Linked DNA regions of Daphnia pulex. The main gene of each other region encodes a partner of the protein of the gene in region 3 in a complex. Links are inferred from orthologs where the notes say so. Each region holds a gene or a part of one and is shown on either strand. Other genes may lie near its edges. The genes, in order: cell cycle checkpoint protein RAD1-like, checkpoint protein HUS1-like and cell cycle checkpoint control protein RAD9A-like.

What was found.
Region 1: the proteins of cell cycle checkpoint control protein RAD9A-like (region 3) and cell cycle checkpoint protein RAD1-like are in contact, whole or in part, in a crystal structure (PDB 3GGR), measured with the Homo sapiens proteins. The link is inferred for Daphnia pulex from reciprocal best matches to the Homo sapiens genes RAD9A and RAD1. Residues at the interface, in NP_004575.1 of Homo sapiens: Leu76, Ser82, Val83, Ser86, Leu90, Lys92, Leu112, Phe116, Gly117, Val118, Arg119, Lys120, Thr121, His122, Asn123, Leu124; in NP_002844.1 of Homo sapiens: Glu165, Ala166, Ser168, Glu169, Asn195, Ala196, Gly197, Ser198, Ser199, His200, Leu201, Asp202, Tyr203, Pro204, Asp206, Ser207, Glu211.
Region 2: the proteins of cell cycle checkpoint control protein RAD9A-like (region 3) and checkpoint protein HUS1-like are in contact, whole or in part, in a crystal structure (PDB 3GGR), measured with the Homo sapiens proteins. The link is inferred for Daphnia pulex from reciprocal best matches to the Homo sapiens genes RAD9A and HUS1. Residues at the interface, in NP_004575.1 of Homo sapiens: Leu157, Pro158, Pro161, Val176, Ala186, Lys191, Ala192, Met193, Val194, Thr195, Glu196, Met197, Cys198, Leu199, Gly200, Asp203; in NP_004498.1 of Homo sapiens: Thr84, Asn87, Arg90, Ala91, Lys93, Thr94, Phe110, Ser121, Ser123, Ser126, Arg127, Ile128, Val129, Thr130, His131, Asp132, Ile133, Pro134, Ile135.

The regions. Positions count from the first base shown.
Region 1 is NC_060028.1:2,683,547-2,690,160, forward strand, and holds cell cycle checkpoint protein RAD1-like, read left to right. Parts: upstream 1-2,735; 5' UTR 2,736-2,862; exon of another isoform or gene 2,863-3,314; intron 3,315-3,373; exon of another isoform or gene 3,374-3,398; 5' UTR 3,399-3,478; coding exon 3,479-3,592; intron 3,593-3,691; coding exon 3,692-3,790; intron 3,791-3,850; coding exon 3,851-4,005; intron 4,006-4,073; coding exon 4,074-4,201; intron 4,202-4,257; coding exon 4,258-4,364; intron 4,365-4,427; coding exon 4,428-4,492; intron 4,493-4,517; exon of another isoform or gene 4,518-4,557; coding exon 4,558-4,777; 3' UTR 4,778-4,794; coding exon of another isoform or gene 4,795-4,830; 3' UTR 4,831-5,001; coding exon of another isoform or gene 5,002-5,113; 3' UTR 5,114-5,146; downstream 5,147-6,614. Other genes in the region: uncharacterized protein LOC124209761, read right to left, coding at 500-632; polymerase delta-interacting protein 2-like, read right to left, coding at 5,002-5,113, 5,192-5,271, 5,331-5,456, 5,517-5,680, 5,761-5,938, 6,022-6,130, 6,509-6,558. UniProt on the Homo sapiens protein: Component of the 9-1-1 cell-cycle checkpoint response complex that plays a major role in DNA repair. The 9-1-1 complex is recruited to DNA lesion upon damage by the RAD17-replication factor C (RFC) clamp loader complex.
Region 2 is NC_060024.1:9,950,758-9,956,829, reverse strand, and holds checkpoint protein HUS1-like, read left to right. Parts: upstream 1-2,621; 5' UTR 2,622-2,722; coding exon 2,723-2,774; intron 2,775-2,867; coding exon 2,868-3,074; intron 3,075-3,135; coding exon 3,136-3,248; intron 3,249-3,324; coding exon 3,325-3,432; intron 3,433-3,499; coding exon 3,500-3,674; intron 3,675-3,734; coding exon 3,735-3,824; intron 3,825-3,892; coding exon 3,893-3,981; 3' UTR 3,982-4,089; coding exon of another isoform or gene 4,090-4,167; 3' UTR 4,168-4,298; downstream 4,299-6,072. Other genes in the region: uncharacterized protein LOC124200064, read right to left, coding at 70-405, 471-703, 766-982, 1,047-1,224, 1,312-2,145, 2,201-2,330; probable 26S proteasome non-ATPase regulatory subunit 3, read right to left, coding at 4,090-4,167, 4,391-4,756, 4,820-5,068, 5,138-5,251, 5,316-5,427, 5,489-5,688, 5,746-6,014. UniProt on the Homo sapiens protein: Component of the 9-1-1 cell-cycle checkpoint response complex that plays a major role in DNA repair. The 9-1-1 complex is recruited to DNA lesion upon damage by the RAD17-replication factor C (RFC) clamp loader complex.
Region 3 is NC_060026.1:14,697,636-14,703,896, forward strand, and holds cell cycle checkpoint control protein RAD9A-like, read left to right. Parts: upstream 1-2,907; 5' UTR 2,908-3,115; coding exon 3,116-3,149; intron 3,150-3,219; coding exon 3,220-3,443; intron 3,444-3,502; coding exon 3,503-3,667; intron 3,668-3,726; coding exon 3,727-3,830; intron 3,831-3,890; coding exon 3,891-4,115; intron 4,116-4,184; coding exon 4,185-4,378; intron 4,379-4,434; coding exon 4,435-4,754; 3' UTR 4,755-4,926; downstream 4,927-6,261. Other genes in the region: uncharacterized protein LOC124203995, read left to right, coding at 1-12, 97-260, 332-501, 590-734, 796-1,048, 1,115-1,217; lipopolysaccharide-induced tumor necrosis factor-alpha factor homolog, read right to left, coding at 1,882-1,990, 2,057-2,151, 2,213-2,280, 2,363-2,456; squamous cell carcinoma antigen recognized by T-cells 3-like, read right to left, coding at 4,966-5,294, 5,362-5,454, 5,525-5,672, 5,734-6,160, 6,220-6,261. UniProt on the Homo sapiens protein: Component of the 9-1-1 cell-cycle checkpoint response complex that plays a major role in DNA repair. The 9-1-1 complex is recruited to DNA lesion upon damage by the RAD17-replication factor C (RFC) clamp loader complex.

The DNA.
Region 1 (6,614 bases), on a different chromosome or scaffold from region 3:
AGAGCCTTCCGTCCTTATCGGTCACCTACCAGGGCCGGATAAACCGAAGAGAAACACTTCTAGGAAAGTCTCAAACGTCCCTGAGCTCAGCCTGGCCTTGAAGAGGGCAGAGACACAGAGAGTCGATTGCCCGGCCGGGCTAAGAGACTGATATGGCAGGCAAAGGATAAAAGAAGAAGAAAATAAACAAGTAGGGCCCCCACCACTGGACTACCACCACCACCACCCACACACCCATTTTGCTCTCGCCCGCCGATTTGCCTTCATCTCAGAAAAAAAGGCCTGTGATGGAATGGCACGTGAGATGTTCACGTGTTCAGATCAATGGACTCACGCACACACACAGGCAAGTGGCTGTGCTCTGGCCACCACAGCCCTGGCCCATTGCCCAAGACGAAGAGATCACAGGGGGGGGGAAAGGCAAAGTGCCCTTCGCCCCGCTTCTTGCATCACTGCTGCATGGCTGAGGGGAGGGGAGGGAAAAAATGGGCCGTGATACCTTGCATGTAATGTTGGATCCATTTCTTTTTGGGTGCCGAAGTCATGGTGCTGCTACGACCCACCAACTCCTCCGTAGCAAACACCCCCATGACCATCGATTGTAACTGGATATGAGTCGATTCATTCACCATCCGCTAGTCAACTCGAAACGGCCCGTAGTTTCCAATGCTCCCCAGAGGAAAAAACAAAAACAAAAACAAAACGACGACCACTGGGAGGGAGGAAAAATTGTTGCCGAGTCGCATTCAACAGTCACAACGCATTGCAAAATAACTCACAGGGGCCCCCCACCACCACCACCGTGGCGATGACGTCGTAACACACAAGATGCGCGCGCGCAAACTCCCAAACATACATACACACACACACACGTCCACACACGGGGAGCCACACTCACACAAATAAAATGATAATATATTAAAGAGTCTCTCTCTCTCTCTGCACTAGCCGACCTTCGATCGTAGACTGGTGAGCCAGTATCCGTTGCGGCTGCACTACGGCGTGAGTGGCGACCTCCTTCTCCTCCTCCTCCTCCACCTACCATCATCACTTGCCACCCGTTACCGCACGCTCTCCCTCCCTCCCCCCTCTCTTATATAATCAGCCATGTCGTTGGCTGCGTGCGCGACGACTTTGTTTTCACTCCCGGACTCTCTCTCTTTCCTATCTAGCTCTTGACCTCCCCCATCCGCTCTACAATGCACACCACCACCCTCCCAGTGCGAGCGGGATACACACACACACACACACTGGTTAGCACGTGCGGGTTGTGGAACCGAAGTGGGCGGGGCTTTGCCACCCTTTTTTCGGATCTATTTCGGCGTGTTACCCGCGCACGCACGCCACTCTCCCCGAGATTCGCAGTTGCGCAAATAGATCGCTCTCCTCACCCACCTCTCTCTCTCCCACTCCCGACACCCGTTCTTGCTTGTTCTTGGCGAGCCTGGAAAAATAAAAGAGGAGGAGGAGCTTTTTTGAATGGACTGTTGCCAACGTCAAAATGCCAATGCGCAGGCTCTAACTTCGTAGAGATCGAGGTCAACAATCGATGTCGACATTCTCGATGACCGTAGTGTGACGTTGGGGAAGAAGAAGAAATAAAATAAAAAAGACACGCTCCAACAGAGGCACCTGGCGGGGGCAATTACAGATTCAAAGGCCAGAAAACCAAAAGATTGATGAGCTCATATCCTCCAACACCAAACACAATAGGGAACTGATTCACAACCTTTGGCTCTGCAGAGCTCGAGAAATTCAAGACTGGGGGTGCACGAGCTTCTAAGCAGTCTGATATTATAAAGACTTTGCATGCACAAACTGATGTCAGTATGAGCAATCCTGCTTGTTTCTAGGAGGGAACGGGGACTAGATTAAACTTGTGCAAAGCAATTACCTTGGGTCTGTCGCTCTACAAATAGAGCGGCTTCCAGGAGAATCTCCAAACTCATTGTTGGACAACCACCAGCCGCTGAGTGTTAGACCTGTGGGTCAAGAAGACACAAACAGTTTTAGTCAACAGTGTAACAGCATTGAACAACAACGATGACATCCAGGATCCACATTGCATCAATATCAAATGAAAAAAAAAATAAAAATTCACACAGACGCACGCACACAGGGTCATTCGCTTTTGGGTTTCAGTACTCGTTTCATTTTGGCCTGAGGCTGGCGGCCTTGAATGAGCTCTCTATAGTCTATCAAAAGAAAACTTTTAACAAGAGGAAAATGCCTCTTTGTTTGCTTGCTTTTAATGTCTAAACTAAATGCGACAAGAATTAAATCGGCAAAAGATACTGCATTTAGTCGAAAAACCAAAGTCACTCTGATCGCCAAAGTGACGTTTGAAAACTAACACTACATCACAAGATAATATTATCGAGAAAAACTACGCACTTCAAGCGAGGCACCAGGCTACACGTGTCCCAGCGATGACGTCACCAAAATGGGCGTCACCGATTTTTGCCTTTAGGTTTTCTTGGGGGCGCCGAAGCTACTACTATTGCTGCTTGCCGAGTAGTCTACGTGCCGAATTACTGGGTTATAAATGCCGGTAAATCAAACAATCGAAACTCGATTGCACACATACTTAGCCACAAAAGAATTACACTTCACTTCACGGTTTAAGTCTCAGCACCGAAAAAGACGTTTGGGCTGTTTTTTGTCTTGTATCTGTTATCACGTTGCTCCTCGCACGTGAAAGAGAACTGCTCCCCTTCAACACCGCCAACTAAGGCGGTACCGAACTGAGTACACGCGTCGACCGCTACAACAACGATACTGGCGGCAAGTTTTCTCCCTCGCTCCGAACCATCAACAGCCATCAACTTGGTTCTTTTTTCATTCGTCCTTTACTGCTTTTATGTATTTTTATTTAAAATTTCATCTTTTCATGACTTTTACATTTAAATTCATTTCCCGCTGCCTTAATCAGTTGAAAACTATGTTTGGAAGCCAAAACATTTCTAGGTGGCGCAATGGTCGCATACGACCAATGGGCGTGCTCATTTTCGAATTCCCCATCTCTAAACTGTTGTTTTCTCGCGTTGTACAACGCCGCAATGTTTCTGACTTTCTGTTTAATAATAACAATATTTTCCTGTTTGAATCAATAAGCCGGTAGGCTTTTTCGTCGTCTCGAGATTAAAACTTGAAATTTTTACTTCCATTCCATTGCAGACAGTTTAGCACTTTTTAAATCCAACAAATTTGATTGTGCTGTATAGTTGATTGTGATAAACACAACCAGATTTTGAATTCAGTCAAAACTAGAATAATTCGTCTCGAATCATAGTTCTCTTGGATGTAACAGTTGGGTCGGTTCATTTTTTGTGCAGTACATTTTTCTGTAAAAAATCCTAGCCTTATTAACCAGAACATTTTTTCACTGATCATTTCAGGATGATCCTTTAGGAACCCTTTGCATAATTCTCAAAACTACTCCCACAACATTAAAGAGCAAACGAGTCCCACATTCACCATGCCAAATTTTCCATTTCAAAACACGTCTGGAGACCAAAGTCACATCTTGATGATACGTATGGATAATGCAAAAATTATCTCACATATCCTCAAATCCATAAATTTCAAAGAGGTAAATTCTTCAAGAATTGTAATACAGAGAAAACATGTTTTGTTAGCGATCAAAAGCTAATCCTATTACATCCTTCTTGTGATTTTGCTTTCCTTTCAGAATTCCGTATTTTGCTGTACTAGAGATGGATTAAAAGTCACAGTTGAAGACATGAAAAGTGTCCAGCTAAATGCCTTTATAGAGCCTGGAGTTTTTCAAGTAAAAAGAATTCACAAAAACAATAATTTTCACAAAATTTACTAACTCTTTGAAATTTAGAGTTATGTTATTAAAGAAGATGAGATTAAATTTCAGCTTAATTTAACTGTGCTTCTGGAATGTTTGAATGTATTTGGCTCTAACAACCTTCAAAGTGGCAGCACACCAGCCTTGAAACTCTACTATAACGGCCATGGGACTCCCGTTTCTATCTTGTATGTAAAACTACAAAGAATAATCGTTCTTTATACTTATTTCGAATTATAATTTTTTTTTTTGGCAGGCTGGAAGAATCAGGAGTTATCACTGACTGCAAGATACGTACAGTTCATTTTGATCCTGTCCTGGATTACGATTTTGGGTCGGCTAACGTCATCGGTCGTATCATTATGAGTTCGGAATGTCTTAAAGGTAATTAAGCGTTGAAAGAAGACAGAAATTTCCTAATATAATTATTGTTTTTATAGAGGTGTTTTGTGAGTTGGACTCGACTAGTGATACTGTTCAGTTTTCTTTGTCACCTGATTCGTCAAATTTTCGTATCACAACATTTGGTCATTCAGGAACTTATCATGTAAATCACGTTGTAAAGTTTTTAGTGAAGCGCGTTCTAATTCTAAACGTTTTGGGTTTCAAGGTCGATATTCCGAAAGAGAGCGATGTAATAGAAACTCTTCGTTGTACCTCGGCAGTGTCCTTTAAGTACGAAATAGATACACATACATAATAAGGCGTACACGATGTATTAGCTCAATTTCTGACTTTAGATACAAGCTCTCCTTGATGAAACCATCCATCAAACCCCTTGGAATAGCGCAAAAGGTTTCGCTACGAATCGACGATACGGGGCTCATATGTTTCCAATTCATGATCAAGGTAGAAGACAACCACAACTGTTACATCGATTTTTACGTAAGTTCATTTTTTTTTCCAAGTTCTATCCGTCAAATTACGTTTTACAACCGTCCTCTCCCTTATACACTCTAATAATTGATTTCTTATAGTGCCCTGCGGACGTCGACTTCGACGACGACGAATGAATGCCACGAGAACGAATTATTGACCGCATCACTAAAACGAAAAAAATGCCCTAGAATTATTCTAGAACGAAGATCTTTGAAAACCTTAGAAAAAACTAAAAAGCCAGCAGTTGTCTTTCATGTACAAAGTTTGTTGTTGTTCATATTTCATGATTATCATGAACGACTCCATTAAACCACGCCGGTTGGCAAGCTATTATCCTCGTTCTTGCTTTCCAATGAAAAGGGAGGGATGCGACAGTCAAAGGTGTGCCCATCTTCTCTCTCCATTCGAAACGTTCCCCTGTTCATAAAAAAAATAAATTATTTGAACTTGGCTGTTGTACTCTTTAATAAATAGTGAAAAATAACTTGAAATTACCACATATGCCCTGATGGTGCTTGTAGTGAAATATGGCTGCTATACTGGAACGCTGGTTGTTCGGGTGACAAGACCGGTTCCTTAAGAACGATTTAATGTTACATTCTAATTTTGAACGGTGGTTATTGACGTTAATTACCTGTCCAATTACTCCTCTTCCTCGAACCGTTTCTAGGGTACCCGAAAGACTGAAAATACGCCAGTGCCGTTCACGTAATTGTACAGACAGTTCTCCCAAGTTTTCGAGCCGGATACAGTAACGCCACTGCAAAAGTTAAAAATTACATTTGTAAAAAATTTGATTCACATTACCAATGGAACGAACCCAAAAGACAGTTGAATTTTGGGATTCTCGGCATCCCATGTAAAAAGGAGTAACGGTTACACGGATATTCTCTGTCGTTTCTTTGTGTACATCTGATAATTCCAGCCAAGGGTGATTTCTTTCTTGCCACGCTCGCAACGTCTCTCTTGCTTCAAACGGAGGATCTGCACTTTATATATCGATGATTCGTGTTAAAAAAATTCGATAGTAGATTCGCAATGTAGCTGGGCGGGAAAACATTAACCTTTATCGGGGTCAGGCATAAGAAATTTGTCAAAAAGCTCGTGACATAAGGGTTGGTGCTCAGTGGTTCGATACGGCAAGATATCTTCGTGAGCAGCATAGTCCAGACCAGGAATAGCATAAAGCGACTTGCTATTTTCTTGTTGACCTAAAAATGTGACCGCTTCTGTTTGTGCTCTCTTAATAAACAGAAATCTAGTTTTACTAAATGTGCTCCTGAAAACTGAAAAGGTCATCAGCTTAAGAAAAGTTAAATACTCACAATATGAGGACAGTCGCGGGAATCAATGAGCACCTGATAGTAAGTATGGTTTTTCCCTTTTACTTCTCTTCCAACTTGATTAGAGGTATTAACATCAGTATCAGGAGTTCTGTATTTTTTTTAAGTACAGGATTAGCAAGTATTTCATGAGAGATGATGTAAGCTATGTCTGCAAAAGCTTGTCCCTTGCACATATATTATGGAAAACAAAACTTTGTTTTTACAGTACTATTCTTAGATCTTTTTCAATGGCAATGGAAATGAAAATGTTACAGTAACAGAAATGCAATATGGAATTTAGAGTGGACATGTTGAATTAACATTTTACAAATCCTAAAGCTAGCAGAGTTTGAGATTCTCTGCTGTGTTGAGATATTGTTGGTGTAGCTGGAATTGATGAACTACCTCACATTCACATTGCTAAAGTATAGTCTTCCAAGAATAATGTGTTTACAATAAGATACCTTACAATATAAAGGGTACATACTTTGTAGTTTTCTTGTTTGCCAAAATATCTCGATCATACACTCTAGCTGACTGGATTGAAATAAACATTTAGAGTATTTAAAGAAATTATGATATCAAAATTAAGT
Region 2 (6,072 bases), on a different chromosome or scaffold from region 3:
AATTGCATGGTTTCCCTCTTTTTGATCAAAGAAATAACAATATACGAAAATTAAGATAGAATGTCTCACTTGACTAATGGCATTCCGGTTTCTGCACGAGCTTGAGCGCTGATATCGCGAATAATATTATGGAAAGCATCAGATGATGATTGCCCGTTGATTTCACGCCACACTAGTTCATCCAAGAACTGCTGGATCGTAGCAGTTGAAAGAAGTGATAGGGTATTCTGGAACACCTTAGGCACCGTTTTGCGGAGGTACTCCATAATGGTACGATTGTTTAGGCGGTCATCAACAGAAACCGTATTTAAATTTTTCTGTACTACATGACGAAATCCTAGTTCTTCGAGTGCCGCACGTTCAACAGTGAAATCTGTCATGATAATGGCTTTCTGATTCACCCACCTAAACAAAACGTGGAATGGTAAAAATTAGATTATAGCAATTGGGGATGCAATATTTTCATTTACTTTGGAAGGGGTTCTAGAATTTTGGTAAATCGAGCTCGACTACGCGTATCCCCAGCGATTGGTTCACAGGCCCGCAGTCGGAATTTCTTTGTTTCTTGATCATAGACGCCGAGGACTTCCACCTTAACGTCACGTCGCTTTCCATCCGTCGATGTTGTACCTAATGAAATCACTCCAACCTCAACGCGGCCATTTTTGCAGCCGAACAATGGAGTGCTAGAATGCACTTCTACCTACATTCGTATAAAATATAAATATGAAAATTTACAAAATATAAATAACTAGCAACGCGTACCGTGCAAACACTCCGTAACATGCCATAGAACAAGCGGAGAAAGACATGATCGATTTTCACCCACTGAACTACGTTCGAAACGGTTGTTTGGCAAGCCCAGTGATAAATGAGCTTTAGCAAAACTGTTGGGGACTGGGTAGAATCCTCAAATAATGACTCACGAAATATCGAAACAAAGTTGCGATCGCAACATTTTGTCATCCAAACATAGCCCCCACTAAATGTTCAATGGATTTAATTCACAATTCAATAACCTGTTCACGTCTTATTTAAATTTTTACCTGAATGGAAATTTATTCTCTTCTGCGTACATTCGCAGTTGTAATGGAACCGGGGTTGATGTCGCGTTAAAATGTGTTCGACAAGTGCCGAATTGCTGACTTCGTAAAAGGCCAACCTGCATTAACCATTCCGCAAATCGACGAGGATCGAGAACTAAACGGCTCTTTACGAACGAATCTAAAAAGCAAGACAAACCGAATGAAATAATTTTTTTAACATGCACAAAAAAAAATAAAATAAAAAAAAATAAAATACTCAACCAACCTAGTGCCTCTCGTTTCTTGGCATTTACGATGTCGGGAACTGAATTTGCCGGACGAACAACGACACAAAGAGAAGGTATCGTTTTAGACAGCATTTTTGTGTCTTCAGGTGGTGGCACACTCGCAGTATTTTTCGCTGGAGTGGCATTTGAAGGAACCGCCAAGATCGTCATTAGCTGACTTGTTGGGATAGTAACTGCAGGAGCTTGTGATGTTTCTGATGGCTTATTTGGCTTTTGCGTGGGAACAGGTTGATTGCTACTAGCTCTTTTGTTATTTCCACCTGAGATTGATGGAGTAACTTGAGCAACTTGAGTAGCTTGGGCAACTTGAACAGCTTGTGTGACTTTTGGTGTTTGAACAGTCTGGGGAGGTTTTACAGTATGAGAAAGCTGGATTACTTTTGCAGTTTGGGCAGCCTGAGCTACTTGAATAGTTTGAGGAATAGCTTGAACAGTTTGACCAACTTGGCCAGGTTGTATGCATGGTGCAGCTTTCTGTTTCTTTGCGGTAGTAGCAGTAAATTGTGAAAGCAATTGTGATGCTGGAAATGGAGTTTCATCAACAGCTGGAGTTTCATCTGCAGCAGGTAACAGAGCTATAGACTGATTCAGAGGCCTGAAAATTTTTGTTGGTAGTGTGGAAACAGGAGGAACAGAAGGAATTATTGGGGGTCTAATTAAAAATTGAGTAGGTCCACTTCGAGGACTATGCATAGTCTGCTGAACCGCTGGTGTTGGTAACTGAGGTGGTGGTGCAACAGGGTTCCGAACTTTAACCTGATATGTAGACTTCACCAACCAAACATTTCCAGTTTTTGTGACTGATGAACCTTCTGACAAAAATAAAACTGAACTAACTTGCCGGTTTAGTTTTAATGTATAGTTTACCTTTTTTAATCTGGTTGGCTTCTGACATGGCTTTTTCATATTCCATCATAGCATTTGTAAAGAAGCTAACTTGAGTTTCACTCAATTCTTCTTCACAACAATCAACTTCCAGATCACTGGAAAGCGTCATCTTGATTCTTGATTCTTGATTTTTATATTAATCCAATAAAACTCACAACTGCAAAATTCTTGCCGAGGAAAACAAACAACGTATGGGGAATGCGAAAAAATCAAGCCAAGGCAAAACATTGTTGCCAAATTTTCCCTATGCAATAATTGAAATTGAAATAAAAAGGAAAGAATTTTTTAAAATTATATATTAAATTTATGAATATTTCAATAGAAATAAATTTTTAATTGTATTAAGTTAGTGAAAAATAATAAAAATATAGAATGCTTTAAACTTAATTTGGCAGTCTCAATTCTCAAATCAAGCCGGGGAATTTCGTCTGTTCAAAATTTTCTCCTTCATTATTGTTCAAGTTTTTTCGTCTGTTTCAAGATCTCATTTCAACTTTCACAATGAAGTTTCGTGGGAAAATGATTGATCCTAACTGCATTAAGCAATTCATAGGTACGCAATTCCGAATTCTATTATTCATTGCTGTTCTAGGATTAAAATTTCATAAGTCGAAGTCATCAATGATCTTCACATTTTAAACTACAGGCATTTTAGGTTGCATGACGAAACTTGGGAAATCATGCATTCTAAGGATCACTACCAACGACTTGTATTTCATTGTCCGTGAATCCCAGACTATTTCAACCTCTCCACTTATTTGGTGTACTCTTGATGAGGGTCACTTTTTTTCAGAATTTGGAATGGAAGGTTTAAGTACCGTTGATAACGAAATATACCTTGAATTTGTTGCAGGTGAAGTGTACAAACAATGTTAAAACTATTAGATTCAAAATTTTCTTATTTTAATTAATAGAAAATGTTGCAAGAACATTGAGTGCCTTGAAAGTATCAGGAACTGCAAAATCAGTAAAAATCAAACTCACAAAGAAGCTTTCTTCACCGTGTCTAACTTTTGAGATTGACTTGGTATTCTTGAGATTGGCTCCTTGACTGACTTGTTATTCTCCTTATATGCATTAAAATTTCTCATGTATACTTTCAGCCATCAGGTTCTAATCATTCACGATTAGTTGTTCACGACATCCCTGTGAATTTGGTACCTAGAAGGCTTTGGAATGACTATGTTGAGCCAGAAGTTGTGGATCCAGATGTAATTATTTTTAGATATTTTTCTTATATCTTTATAAATATTTAAAATAAAACCCATTAATCTCTAGATTTCAGTTCATATGCCTCAGCTCCGTTTAATGAAAAGCATTATTGAACGCATGAAAAACCTTGCCAATATGGCCACTCTTCACGTCACATCCGAAGGATTACTTACTCTAACTGTTGAAACTGAAGCCGTTTCCGTAACTTCACACTTCGATCATCTACACGTTGAAAAGCAAAGTAAGACTTTAAGGTTGTAGCATTTCCACATAGTTTTAATTATCGGTAACGTTTTAATAGAGGAAGATGAAGCTAGTGTCACCATCGAATTGAAACGTCTATCAAATTTTCTAGCTCATGAACAGCTTAATCCACAAAAAGTCGTTTGTGGTATAAAACAATATGATTACATCTTTTACTAAACACAAACCGACACTCATTTCTATTCGATCTTATAGATGTGCTGCAATCAAAATTGATGCATTTGAATTTTCTGAGCGACAGTTACAGTTTGCAGTATTTTCTCCCAGGGATTAATGACCAATAACGAAGAAAAAAACTTTCCTGAGTTCCCTCGATGATTTATTAAAGTGGATCGCAACTTGAACGATTACATAGAGGCTCACATTTACGCGCTGATTTCAGTACCTACAACTCACGGAAAACCATCGTCATCTTCTTCAGCCATTTCCTTCGCATATTCCAAATCTTGTTGTTCCCGTTCGCGACGTTCCTATAAGAAAAATTTAATCTGTTTTTTACCATAGCCCAATACATAAAACGCAGATAATTCATGTCTGATAGATCTACAGTTTCAGATTTTAAATTACACAGTTGCATTTGGTTTCACGCCAAGGAATTCGATATTGAGTAACGCCGTTGTATTCACAATATTGCTTCTTATAATCAACTCATTTTTTCCTGCAATTAATCGAACGAAATTAGTTTGGGGTTACCTCTGCTGATTCCAAATCTTTGTTGTATGCCTTGGGAGGGAAGCGCATAGCTTTGACGCTTTGATTATGAATCTGAAGGCAGAAGGTGATTCGCTGGTGGAAAGCCAGCTGAGGCTCCTTGGTGCTGTAGACGTCAATGCTCTCCTTACTCTGCATAAATTTTCCTTCGTGGTCTAACCAAGCTTCGATAACTCCGTCACGAATGGCCTTGGCAACAATGAATTCAGCATCTTCGGCCGAGTCCAACAAAAGCTTGTGGGCTATGTCAGCTAGAGAAATGCGCGAATACGACAAAGAGATGGCTCTAATCGCAGTCTTGATAACATTGTGGCGTAGACGGATTATAAGAGTATAGGTATGATCAGCCTAAATAAATAAGAAAGTTAATTATATAATTTGGAGGGGGAACATTCGCTTGAAAGACCCTGCCTGGAAAGTTTTTCCGTAGTTCTCTAACACTTGATTGAATCTGTGTATGTCTCCCAACCTGACGGCTTGCGTCATTTGAAAATATGGAGCCAAGGCGTGTCTCATTGTTGACTGACGGAAAATATGCCGTTCAGGAATGTCTCCCATCAACAACTCGACTGTTACCAAAAGCTTTTGAACCGTTTGTTTGAAACCAACTGCTGTATGCTGGGGCGCTTTCCGAATGGCTTGCAAAAGATGAGTGTGAGCCTAAAATCAACAAAACAATGTTACAATTAGGAGATTAAAATAATAATAATAATAATTGTGTGTTCTCACCTGCGAATATTCCAATTGAATAGCCTTGATTCTTCCAAGATAGTAAAGATAACGTGACCACTCGTTGTTACTTCCAGATTCTGGGAAGACAGATTTTGAGACCAACTTGTCGGCCTAGAAAACGACTTATTAGGTAATCTAATGAAAAATAAATAAAAATAAAATAATGAAAACTTACTTGATCATACAGACTGTAGAAAAGATAGTTGCGCAGCAAACAATTGATCAGCACTGCCTGTCCCTCAAAATCTTTTCGGAGAGTACATGTACGTAGCCGGCTATGCAGAAAGCTAGAATAATAATAATAATTTAAGATATTTTGAAAGGTATTTTTAGCTAGTTCATTTTTACCTTCTGATTGAATCCAGCTTTCCAGCAAGCTCGTACGTCCTAGAATGATAGAAGTAGCAACGAGCAGCCAATAAATCCAAAGTACGCCGATTTTGAGCTGTTATTTTCTGCATTAATTGGTCTGAGCAGAGAACTCCTTCTTGAATGCGCTTATTATCGATACAATGAAGAAGAACTAACATATGGATGTATACGTCAACCTACATAAACTTCAGTCAGCAAAGGTTAAAAACGAATTTTGACCGAGATATATTTACTTCAGGTAAAGGAGAAGACGTCCCCTGTTTGGGAGCTCTTGTTCTTTGGATTGGAGATGCAATATCAAGAGAGTCATCCCCTCCTACTAGATTAAGCAAGTTGTCTCTTTCCTTTATCGAATAGCTATAACTGTGAAGAATGATGCGACGTAATACAGCGGGATTCAGTCGACGACGAGTGTTAGGCAACGACCTCAGTACTCGGAAAACAAATCGAGGCTCCTTTGTTATAACAGACTTTTCTACTTGCCTCAGTTGTTCACGGATATCTGTAATAAAGTTTAAAGAGACTGTAAGTTTTTTTCACCAGCATGTTATCCTTGCACG
Region 3 (6,261 bases):
TCCTTCCAACAGGTACTCTTAGAACAAATTGTCAATCTTTTCAGTCTACCATGGCTCATCTTGGACAAGTTTAACATTCTTATTTCTGTGAATAAGCTCTACTCCAAGTAGTGTTATACCACGACGAGGTACTTCTACCCCAACAGGATCATCAAGCAAAAATAGGAGCTGCAATTTTTCCCCAATCACAAACCCGGATTTCTCTAAATCATCTGCCGGGTCAACCGACAAACTTGAACCAAAGCTGCTCAAACCTCTGGGTCAGTGAAATAATTAAATTTGTCTTGGTTATGATCACTTAAATATATAATGCTGGTTTCTTTTTTCGTAGGCCCATCATTTCCTGCTCAACAAACATTAGCTGAAAAGAAATTAGCCCAATCAAGAACAAAATTGTCTACTGAAGAGCAAGCTACATTGATGTACATGATGTATCAACAGCAACATTTCCTAAATAATCAAATTGAAGAATCTAAAGACAGAGTGTTGGCAGAATGCAAGGTAAACAATATACGATTATAACATTAATGTATACTCTTATTTAATTTTTTAACAACACTCCTAACATTTTAATTGAAAATGGTTTCAGGAACAAATGGAAGACCTCTGGAATTTGATCAAAATTAAGGAAAACAAAATTTCCCAAATCAAGGAAAGGAAGAGACTTGAAGAAATGCGGTTGGAACTCACTTCTCAGATTGAAGTATTGGAACCAATTGTGAAGCAAACAACAGGTTTGTCAAAATGTTCACATACTAGAGACATTCTTGAATCTTGGTTTGCATTTGTATTCAGATGCACTAAGTACTGTAACCCCTAAAGTTAAAGAGCTAGCAGATGGTTTGGACATCTATCGCCATCAGATTCGTCTAATTGATATCAATGAATTTAAAAAAGAAGAAACAGATGAATTGATCAAAGTTTTTAAGAACAGCACAACTCTATCCGATAACATTCAGGTGGAAAAGTTTGATGAGTTTATTAAAGCCGCAAGCGTAATTTCTGATCTAAACGGAACTACTGCTATGCAAATTGGAATCATGGAGGAGTATGTCTGCGTTATTTAAAAAAAAAACTCTTTGTCTAGGTCGAAATAAATTATTTTCTGTTTTAGATGCCAGAATATGATGTCGCAATCGATTACTCGGCTTGGCCAAGAACTAACACTGAGAGATACAAAAACGGACTTTAGAAAATTAAGCGATTTGGATGTATAAAAGTTACGTTTTGTTTATATTGTAAGATTATTTCTGTCATGATAATTAAATACTTTGATAGAAATCCAACCATTTCCTGTCATTTGTTTCTTACTGCGCTTCTATTAATGGGTAGGTTAATCCCCAAAACCATGTTGTTTGTATCTATGAAATAGCGGGAAACATTTAATAAGCATCGTTTTGGTTCTTTTTTAACTTTTTTCCATAGGAATAACATTTTCTATATATTTAACGAGCAGCATAAAAATAATTAATAAACTACGGCACTGCAAGATTCAAATTAATTTAAAAAAATTCAGTTAAGAAAAGGAATATAGGTTTTTTGTCCCAGTCGAACAAAACGTTTTTCAATGAATTTAAAATTTAAATTACAAACGACAATTTTAATATATTCGAAGTTTATTCATTGATAAATTTTGGTGATAAAATTAACACGGCGTATCTTTGATTTTAATAAGTAAGCGGAGTAGATATTGAAGCAAGGTACGAATAATACAACGTTCAGCATTTCTATTGTTTGAAATTTTGAAATTGAAAAGCTTCGTGTAATTAGGAAAAAGGTAAATTTTGGCATACAAGATGCAACAACCAAATTTGCCAAAAATGAATATGAAATTTAACACACAGAAAGAACCAATTGCCTCTTCATAGTAAGAACATTAGCTTAAAAGTGGCTGTATCTCCCCAAGTATGCTTTGCAATTTGGACAAGCATGATGAACATTCATGCACTCAGGAATACAGCAGGGGATAAGGCAACAGCCCAACCAACATCTGGTAATAAAAATATATGTGTTATATCAATGTGTAACTCTTAAGAAATTGCTGACTGTGTAATACCCAAATAGAACTAAAAGACCTCCAGAAAGCCAGGCAATCAGACCAGGTTCAGTACGCACAGAAGTGTCAATTTCAGCATGGCAATGTGGACAGACCTGTAAAGAAAGAAGATAGAGAAAATAAAATATATAATTAACTGTGGAGGGAAAAACTAACAGTGTGTGTTGTTCCGGGTCCAACAGGTATCACGGTTGTCACAATAATAGGCTGCTGGTTGGTTACATCTATTAAAAGAGATAAACATTGTGATTTTGAATGTGAGGCACATTTCCCATTAAAAGTTAAAATACTAAAAAAATGCTTTACTTTGATGAGGAGTAAAGGGGCTTGATGGATTAACACCACCCACTGCTTCCATGTAAGAAGGAGGGGCAGCTGGAGGAGGACCTTGTTTACTCATCTGTGAAATAGTTTATGGAGAATCCAATGAATTATTGGTAAATTGGTAATCAGAATATCAGACCAACATTAACTTCAATGTTTTGTATTCTGAATCATGAAAGAGTTTAAATTTTATTTGTTATTACCTTAGAAAGTCATGCAGTACAAGTAAGTTATTCACAAACGTTTACACTCTGTGCTCTAGTTAACACTACACAGCTGTTCTTAAGCTCCGCCCCATGACTTTTCAGAATGTAATCAGCAGGAATTGGACAGCGGAAAAGCTGATGTAATTGAAAGTCTTCCAATGTTTCAGAATGTTATAATTGAAAACCATTGATAAATCAAGGGGAAAAAAAATTTCCTTGAAGTACCTCAGCAGATAAGACCGTCTTCTTTATCTATGGTTAAAAGTACAATCAAGTTTCAGTGACTTGCAGATGTGGCCGAAATAATACGAGTCACGCTCGTCACTTGTTTCATTTGTTTACATCTTCAGTGAAGATAAAATCTCAACAGCCAATCGGGGCATACTTGAAAAAATTCATTTCCGTGTCGTCTGCGTGCTAAACATTCTAAACGTGTTATCCGGGACATGGGGTTACCGATATAATTTCTGGCGGCATTTCGAATTTTTTTTTAGTGCAAACAACTAAATTTACATTGAAGTAAAGAAAAATGAAATGTCTTTTGGATGCAACCAGTGTTAAGGGTACGACATGATGTTTCATTTGATTGTACTAAAGCAGTTGAAAGCTAAAACACTTTCTTTTATTCTTTAGTTTTGGCGCGAGCCATACACTCATTGGCTAAGATAGGTGATGAATTGCACATTTCACCAATGGAAAATGGATTAACTCTGAAGACCGTCAATGCTTCCAAATCTGCCTATTCAGCTTTCAATTTTCACCTACCTTTTTTTCTTGACTACACGCACATAAGTGAAAATACTGTTCACGCTGATCCAGAAGAAGATACTGTGATTAAATGTAAACTTCCCATGAAGGTCTGACAAATAACTTTAATGTGAAGTATTGTGTGTTTACAATGATGTTTTGTTTCCAGTCCATCTTGTCTGTATTTAGGTCGATCGGAAGCTTGGAAAAATCAGTTGAAACATGTAAGATAATGCTACCACTTCTTGAGGCTCTGTTAATCATTGAGTTCAGGTGCAAACATGGAATTGTTAAGTACTTCAACTTAAGATACTTTGAATGTGAAAGTGTTGAAGTAAGTCCTTTGATTTGGTCTCGCCAGACTTTTAATGAAAATAACCTAAAAATTCATAGGCAGAATTCTCTAAGGAGGGTTACCCCAGTAAATTTTCCTGCTCTTCACGTTTTTACAATGAAACTCTTCAAAGTTTTCATTCAAGCACTCAAGAAGTTACTTGGTAATCCAACAACATAATTGTCATGTTTAAATAACCTCAAATTTCGTTTATTCTTTCAAGGTCCCTTGCAATGGATCAAGTACATTTGAGTAACCATATTGATGATGAAATAGACCCATCCAAATGTGTTCGTACGGAAGTCACGTTGGTCAAGGATGAATTCATTGAATTTAACGTCGCTCTGTGTACTCAAGTTACATTTTGCTTGAAGGAATTACGAGCTATTTTGGCCTTCGCAGAAGCCCTGAAACTCGATCTTGATTGTCGAATGGAAGGCGCCGGACAGTAAGCAATATTTCATTTTACTTGTGATTCAAAAGTTGCATCGATTATTTACGGAATTCCTTCTACCAGGCCTGTTTTGTTCAGTCTACAAAAGGATGACTTGTATTCAGCAGATTTTCTCCTTGCAACTCTAACGCCTGCTCTGGACACTACGGCATCCATTAGTTCGCGAACTGCCAAACACGAAATGTCAGTACAAGGCAATACCTCCAACCATCCGTCTCCTGTCCCTACCCTGAGGAATAAAACAGGTAACAAAACAGGCTTGAAAGGGAAGTCAGGATCTTGACATACATTGCTCTCCTCGTGAATTTTCTAGATTCCAGGACCATTTCGCGTGCCAATTTGGTCGATTCTAGGAACGGTTCTCGTGCAAGCACGACACACACTCGTTTACACACACCTTTGATACGACAAACGCCTGTTAACGAGGATCATACCCCACGTCTTAACAGTCTATCTCTTATCGAGCCCCATCCGTTTCCTGATATGGAAGTAGATTTGGAACCCGAAATTCAACCACCTCCTAATAAGAGAGCTCGGGCTCGCTACATATTTCAGAATTGTCTCAAGTTAACACAAGAATACAGAGAGCGACCAACTGAAGTCTTTGCTCCGGATTCAGAGGAAGATGAATAGCAAGAGACGAAATAACCCTTTCCCGGCTTTCCCCTCATCCAACGATTTTGTACATTTTTCTTTCGCCGAGTTAACTCAGTATTGTTTTGTGTCAGAATTTTGTAACGGTACATCACTGTATCCTATATAATGATCACAAAAGTTAAAGTGCCATTAAATGTTGATCAGTCCATTTTTTATTTATTCGTGCCATTTCAATGTCATTTTCAAATTATTTCTTTAGAAGCATGGACCGGAAATCGGCATTGCTCTTCGAAGCACTGGCGGGAACACTGACGGGTGGCGGCATGGTGGAAGACTGAGATGTCTGGCGAAGGACGGCGTTTGGAACAAACGACACTTGCGTTCTCCTTACCCGTGTTCCGCCACCCAAAGATAGTTCATCCTTGTCCAGGTTTCTGTCTTCGCGACGTGGAGGTGGATTGCTTAACGCAACCGTCAAAACTTTGTCCTGGAATGTAGTTCCGTCTGTCTGGTTCATAGCCATCGTCGCTGAAACTTCATCTTCGAATTCAACGTAAGCCAGACCTTTGGGCTTTCCTTTATATTTAATTAAATAGAAGTTAGTAAAGAAAAAATAAATTTAATTTAGATTATTAAACGCTACCGTTCCGTAACGTTACTAATCGAACGTCCTTCAGAATTCCAAATTTTTTAAACAGAGCTTCCAAGTCTTCTTTAGTAGTAGTGAAAGCTAAGCCTGTTATAACATCAAATAGATTTGGGATAAAAACAAATTAAGCTCGTACCTAAAGATCGCAAATACGTACCTTTGATAAACAGTTTTTTCTTTTCTAATGTTGACTGGTACTTGAAAGCTGGATGCTTCAATGCTGCGTCCGGTTCGCTTGGAGACATGAAAACCGGTCGTCCTTTCATGAGCTCACGGTCCCGCTTCAGAACTGCTCTCGCTTCATCCTAAGATAGTTTTAAATGAATTTAACGGACAAGCGTAGGAAATTTAATTATGGAAGTTTACTTGTGAAGAAAATTCGACAAAACAAAATCCTTTGCAACGTTGTTTGTAGTCCAGAACAAGACGTATGTCCGTTATGGTGCCGGAAGAACTCATCATGTTGCGTACATCTTGTTCAGATGTTTCGTAGGCCAGATTGCTTAAAAAGACCGTATTGGCATGACGGGAAGGATCGGTAACCGGTTTAGGAATGACAACGGGCTTGCTAGCAGGTTCGGTGGCGTTTACTTTAGGTTCAACTTTCTTTTTGGGAACAACTTTCGTACTAGTTGCTGCGGCATCATGGCTTATTTTAGGTTTTTTGGCAGGCACGGGTTTCGATTCTTTCGCATCTTCAATCTTTCCTCGTTTCCTACCTTTAGCCGTTTCTACTTCTTGAACCGTTTGCCCCTCTCTTTCTTTATTAACCTTCTTCATCCGAGCTTCACACCTGGCATATTTAAACAATTAAAATCAAAATTTTCAAAAGCTTTAAATTATTTTTCAGACCTCTGTTTAGCGATATCCATGGTTTGTAAGTCTCCTTCTTCG